Ovis aries: one gene and its partner. The protein of the gene in region 1 interacts with the protein of each later gene in a pairwise test. Links are inferred from orthologs where the notes say so. Each region holds a gene or a part of one and is shown on either strand. Other genes may lie near its edges.

The links. The genes of interacting proteins can lie anywhere in the genome.
Region 2: the proteins of NFYC (region 1) and DR1 interact in binary tests that used the Homo sapiens proteins (3 or more experiments, as listed by UniProt). The link is inferred for Ovis aries from reciprocal best matches to the Homo sapiens genes NFYC and DR1.

What each region holds. Positions count from the first base shown.
Region 1 is NC_056054.1:15,281,660-15,285,159, reverse strand, and holds part of NFYC (nuclear transcription factor Y subunit gamma), read right to left. Parts: intron 2,699-3,500; coding exon 2,540-2,698; intron 1-2,539. UniProt on the Homo sapiens protein: Component of the sequence-specific heterotrimeric transcription factor (NF-Y) which specifically recognizes a 5'-CCAAT-3' box motif found in the promoters of its target genes.
Region 2 is NC_056054.1:70,565,861-70,569,360, forward strand, and holds part of DR1 (protein Dr1), read left to right. Parts: intron 1-214; coding exon 215-378; intron 379-3,500. UniProt on the Homo sapiens protein: The association of the DR1/DRAP1 heterodimer with TBP results in a functional repression of both activated and basal transcription of class II genes.

The DNA of each region.
Region 1 (3,500 bases):
GGGAGATGAAAGAGGCTCCAGGAAGACTGGCAGATATAGTCTCCCTCCATTTGGGGGCCTAGACACCACCCTCCAGAAAAAAAGCTGTCTGGCCTGCTCTTCTTTAAAGGGTGAGCTTCTTGAGGGTAATAGGCAAGTCATGCCTCTGTCCTGGAGAAAATTTTCCTCTTGCCTTCAAGAGCTAACTTCATTATATGGGCTTTTACTTCCATGAGTAAATGCCGATAGGATGAAACTCCTGCATACAAGTGTTAAATCAAACTGCTTCTCTGAAACTTCAGCTTCAAAGAGGATTTGAACCATCAAGAAAAGATGAACACTGAACCAAGAAAAGAGGAACATTGAAGTTCCTGGTAGAACATTCCAGAATTGTCTAAGGCAAGATGGAGGGACACAAAATCTAAACCCACTAAGAGTCCGCTTTAAAGGAGACAGGGCAAGATATTGTGACCTACCGTCATTTCTCTCCTGAGAACTTGCCAAGAAGAGTTGTTGGGAAGTTGTGATGCCAAGCCTAACCCCCCACTACATCCCACAATGCAGCTTCCAGGCCAACGTTAAATTGCTTACGAGGAGGAAGACAGCTGCATGGAGGCTTGGGAAACCTCATGTGCCGAGATTGATGTTGGTTGGTCCCAGGAGTCTCCAGAACTCCAGCCAAGGACATGGGATGAAAGACTGTAAGAAGCCTGGTCCCAGGAGTGGGGGAAGGTATATTGCTGGCCATAGGAATTTTACATTTCCCTGCTGGAAAGAGCACTTTGCAGAAACTCAAATGTGACTGAAAACTTGTGAGCTGGACAGTTCTAAGCAGTTCTTAGGAGCAAGCTCTTCTTTTAGGCTTGGGCTTAGATATCTGGGGACGCTCTGCTCTTCAATCCTCTACCGCAGGGATAATCCTGGGGACCCTCACACCCTTTTAACATTAACCACAGAGCAAAGAAGCCCACCCCCCTGGATGGAAATCAACCCTGAATATTCACTGGAAGGCCTGATGGTGAAGCTGAAGCTCCAACACTCAGGCCACCTGATGAGAAGAGCCGACGCACTGGAAAAGACCCTGACGCTGGGAAAGACTGAGGGCAGGAGAAGGGGGCAAAAGAAGATGAGATGGTCAGATGGCATCACTGACTCAATGGACATGAATTTGAGCAAACTCTGGGAGATAGCGAAGGACAGAGAAGCCTGGTGTGCTACAGTTCATGAGATCGCAAAGAGTTGGACATAACTTAGCAACTGAACAGCAACAGAGCAAAGAAGCCCACTCCCTGGGCTTTCCAAAGAGGAGCACAGTTCCCTTCCTGGGAACCAGCACTCCGCTAAGTCTAGAAATGCAGACTCCTGCAGAAGCATACAGTGAAGACTAAGTCCTAAACTCTGCAACAAGTCTTCTGTGCCCCCAAGTCTGTAAAAGACTCAGGTTAAAGTTACTATGAAGTGGGAACTCTACTCTGGTTTAGATGATCTTATTTTGGTGCTCTCACATGCAAAATTGAGAACCATTTATGAGAGAAGTCATGAGTTGGTGGCTGCAAGGAATCTGAAATCGATGCATGCTTGTGTGCATGTGGTCACCCCACCCCAACCCCGCCCTATTTAAGAAGGAAGGGTGGGGGAAGGAGATGGAGAGAAGGGGGTGGGGAGAAAGAAAGACAGAGAGAGGTGACAAAGAAAGAGATAGAGTGATGCACATAGCCCCCTTTCCTCAGCTTTCTCTTGGCCTATTACTCTGTTAATTAAGAAGAGCTACCCAAAATAGAGCTAAGGATACTTTTCAAGCTTCCTTCAAAGAGGAAGTGGTTAGCCAAGTCCAAGTCTGTGTCTGCCAACATTTCATTAACAATAGGAAAGGTGAGTGGCAGGAACAGACCTGCTCTATGTCACGCCTTTTCCACATTTTTTGTGGCAAGCTGACCAATGACTAGGTGGCACATGTTACGACGAGGACTTTCTTCATTTTTTTTAGACAAAAAAACAAGTACAAGTGAAAAAGCCAACAAATATAAGAAATGAAATCCCTCAAGGCACACAGGAAGTAGCAGTCCACAGTGAAGCAATGGATAAGTTAAATGAAAGCCAAAAATACACTTTGTTGCAGGCTCCACTGGGAACTGACTCATGAATATGCAACAAGTGTATTTATGGCCTTCTCTATACACTTCCCTCTTATTCTCTGCAAATCAAGACAGAACTGCCTCACAGGGCCTTTGGGCCTTGCCATGGAATAGTGGCTACAATGACCTCTCTGCACAGGCAGCGGGAGGGGAACTCTAGAAGTGCTGCCCCATAGCCGCGAGTCTGAACCCAGATTAAAGGAAAGCAGGGAGTACGCAGTGAAGCCAGTTGTGGTCTAGGGTCTAGGGTAATGGAAATACAGGTTTACAACAAAGAGTGTGTGTGTCTGTGTGTGTTGTGTGTCTGTGTGTTGTATGTGTGTGTTGTGTGTGTGTGTGTACTGAAACCTCTAACCGTCCCTGATCACACTGTCGCGCACAGCGCCGCGCAGACCCGAGGGCAGGGCAGGGCAGGGCAGGCTTACCGGGATCTGCTGGATCTCTCCCGTGTTCGTGATGATCTGCTGCATCACCTGCATGGTCTGCCCAGCGCCGCTCTGGGCCTGCTGGGCTTGGCCTTGTGGCTGGGCCTGGACAATTTGCACCTGCTGACCTTCTCCAACTTGCATGGTTACAGGTGTGGTCTGGAAGGAAGAGTCATGAAAACGCTGACTGAGTTCTAGCCCAGAGCCCAGGCCTACCAAGGGGTTAATGCTGAGCAGGTAACCAGGAGCAAACCCTCCTGAATGCCTGACCTCATCTCAATACCAACAATACTCAACCTACAGAGTCCCCTGGGACTATGCACACTCAGAGCACTGATAACATCATTCTCCAAAATAAAAGACAGGAAAGCCGAATGGATTTTTTTGGCTCAGAGTGCAAAGTATTTGCCTCAACCCCAATACCTCTCTCTATGCTTCAAATATTGCAACTTTTCACAGCCCCTTCAGTGACAGAAAGGCACATATGGTAAAAAAGAATTAAAAGCAACTATGATAATTCTCCCAAGACATGGCTGAAGTCAAGCCTGGAGCAGGTGAGTTTGGAGGGCAAACCAAATGGGAAGTGGGGTCAGTTTAGGACCCTGGGCTGCTTCCCCGGCATGCAAGGCCCTGGAAAAAACATAAAGGGCACACCGGCTGTCATCCCCACTTAGTCAGAGTGACTCCAGCCCACGCTGGCCAGCTGGCTGCTCCAGATCACAGCATGGCTTCCCGCGGGAGAGGCAAACACCCTTAAGACCTGGACATAGTTAAGACCTGGATCTTAATTGAGGCTATGTAAGTAATAGAATTTAACACTTTAACAGAATTTACCAAGAATTTTAACTTTCTAGAAATAGGAATCTCAGATTTAAGGAATTTCTGTCTAATGTATACAAAGATTCTGTGTCTCACACACTTAGAGGACTATCCAACCCATCGAAACTTGCTCCTTCGAGAG
Region 2 (3,500 bases), about 55 Mb from region 1:
AAGAAAGCTGATAAAATATTTTGTCTTAGCCATATGGATGATTATTGTGCACCGTAAAATAGGTAAAATTATTAGAAGACAGTAGTCTTCCCCTCCAAATACCTCCCTCTGCCACCCCCACCACCCCATTGGCAAGCTTCACAAAATATTCCACTGGTGAAGAAAAAGTGGTGTTTTATCACTTTCTGATATTTTCATATTTTCATTTTCCCAGCACTAGAAAGTTTAGGCTTTGGCTCTTATATCAGTGAAGTAAAAGAAGTCTTACAAGAATGCAAGACAGTAGCATTAAAAAGAAGAAAGGCCAGTTCTCGTTTGGAAAATCTCGGCATTCCCGAAGAAGAATTATTGAGACAGCAACAGGAATTATTTGCAAAAGTAAGTAACACATATTAACTTATTTCATGTGAATCTGACCCTTTTTTGTACACCAAAATCATACTGTTTTCTAAAATAATTTCCCAAGTCAATATGCATGTCCAAAATTTTGTTTTTGTGGCTGATTGTTTGATCATAGAGTCTGATGTTAGATCTGGCCAGTTTGACTCTATTTGGCCGGCTATTTACTTTACATAAAAGTAAATATTTGCAGCAGCCTGTTTTCTGAGGAGAACAACTCCGAATGACTACTGAGACTTTACTTTGATGTTTTTTTCAGGCAGAATGACCATTTAAAAGCATGAAAAGTATACCTTAACATTCGTAAGATTTAAACTGATGGACTGGTGAGAAAATATTTTATCAAATTTTTAGACGAACAGCATATAAAAAAAATCTGACTAACGTTTACTTTTTAGTTAACTTAGGTCTTTACTGCACCTTTAAAACACTCTGATCTTAAAAACTTTGAAGGGCCAGTGGAGCAGAGAAAGGCAGAAAACTTTTCTCCTTTTTCGCTTGTTCTAATGTCCAGTCTGTGGAGGATTAGCAACAAGAACTATTTGTTATTTCCCTCTGTTTTTAAAGAAAGGAGACCACCGGGAGCTGGAATTGAGTGGAGTTTGTGACTAGCCTCTCAGAATTTCTCCAGTGTTACTGCTCTGCCATCTTCTTGGCCTGCCTTAGCCCATTGTCAGAATCCTGGGTGCCTTCTTCATTCCCTTCCAGGTCCCTTGGTGACAGTAGAAACAAGCTCTGTAATATATTTTGGATCATCCCTCTGTGGAAGATCATATTTTCCAAAGATGACCACTATAGTATCTCTTACCCTTTGTCTCCATGACTCACTGTGCCTTCGTATTACAGCAGAGGCAACAAAGGCTGGCAGCCTTCATTATCTGGTAAAAATACCTAGGGATGAGGATTAGGAGATGAAGAAGCCCATGCAGCATGCAACACAGTTTCCATGTGGAGTGAATAACCCAACAACCAATATGCACATATACCCCATGCTGATGCAAAGAAAAAGCTTTCCATCAGTCCTTTCCACTCAGGCATGGGATGCACTGGGCCTGGTCCAGAATACCCACAGGCAAGAGCAAGAAGAAGAAATTGAGAGGGAAAAATTGGCCTTCCCTCCTCCTCTGCCAGGTTCCTTGAAGTTAGGGAGCAGGTAGTTACAGTGTACAACGGTTCTTTTCTTTAAAAAAAAAAAGTATTTATTTATTTATGTTTGGCTGTGCTGGGTCTTCATTGGTATGTGAACTTTTCTGTAGTTGCAGTCAGCAGGGGTTACTCTCTAGTTGCAGTGCAGGAGCTTCTCCTTGCGGTGGATTTTCTTGTCATGGAGCTCGAGCTCCAGGGCGCACAGGCTTCAGTAGTTGCAGCTCCTGGGCTCTACAGCACAGGCTCAGTAGTTGTGATACACAGGCTTAACTGTTCTACGGCATGTGGGATCTTTCTGGGTCAAGAATCGAACCCGCGTCTCCTGCGTTGGCAGGCGAATTACCACTGAGCCACGAGGGAAACCCTACAGTGATCCTTGAATGACTGAATATTCACTCCATGTAAGACTGAGAGCTTAATAACCTGGTTGTTAAGAATGCAGATCACTGACCAAGGCTAAATTTATCACCAGGGACTGAGATATCTTAATCATATTTTCACTTGCTCTTCTCTGTACCTTCTTCCTGTTTACCCTACAAAGGCAGGAGCAAGGAATTACAAACTTGAAGATTTACAAGAACAGCTTAAAAAATAGTCCATTCCATTTCTGGGTACTACTGAAATGCTCAGATTGCTCAAGCAGACTGTCTATAAGTACTGTCTATAAGTATAATAAAGCATTGAACTCACTTTCCAGTGGGAAGATCTTGAAAGTTAGACCTAAATCATTGGGTCAGAGGTGATTCTCTGGTAAAGAGGATGTAAAATACAGTGTTTCAGTTCCGTAGAGATACTTATTTCATCATAGGAATAGTGCTTTGTGGTCCTTTATAATTGTCTGTCCCTGCCCTCAGTTTGTAAGCTCGCTGACGGCTGGACCTATTATTAATTGTATCTTTAGAAAATCCCATGGACGGAGGAGCCTGGAAGGCTGCAGTCCATGGGGTCGCTGAGGGTTGGACACGACTGAGCAACTTCACTTCCACTTTTCACTTTCATGCATTGGAGAAGGAAATGGCAACCCACTGCAGTGTTCTTGCCTGGAGAATTCCAGGGACGGGGGAGCCTGGTGGGCTGCTGTCTATGGGGTCGCACAGAGTCGGACATGACTGAAGTGACTTAGCAGCAGCAGCAGCAGCAGCAGCAGCAGCAGCACCCATCTGACTTGGTAACTAGCACAGGGGGAGTATTCAGTAAATATTTGTTGAATAAATGACTGAGTTAAATTGATGAGTCAGGGAAGCACAGAATTCTAGGGGTGGAACAGACTTGAAATCATTTACTTTAACCTTGATCTTATAAATTATGATTCTGAACTTTGAGGAGGTTCAAGAATCTATTCACCATTATGGAAAAAAAAAGGAGGTGGGGAGAAGTGAGGCTGTTTTTTCCCTACAAAGTTCTGGCTTCTCAACTTGAAAATGGAAGACAGATTTGGTTTGAATAGAAGAGGTGAGAATTGATACAAGTTACTATAACTACTATTAGAACTAGGAAATACCATTTTAGGTCTTTTCCAGATTAGTTCCATAACTGATCTCTTTATAGTCATTAACAACCAGTTTGGTTTAAGTATTTAAATTTTAAGTTATCAAGCACTAGATACCAGATACCATTTAAACTGATAAGGAAGATAAAGCTTACCAATGTTTATTGAGTTCTAACCATGTGTTAATCATGTGCCAAGTGATTTACCAGTATCATTTAATCCTCACAACATAGAAAACAGGTACTTAAGTAGAAAAGCCTTTGAGGCAGGTAAGACCACATGCAAACAGTGTTGTAATCCATATGAATAGGAGGTACCAATGGAGGATTGAAAGTTTTTTTAAAAAGCTAGTGGCTATTATTTATTGAGTCTCTACTATGGGAGATCACCTACAGGGTGCCAGCGTAAATATTTGATAAAGGGAAAGATGCTCTGCTAAACATTTTATATACTTTGCAGAGTTTTC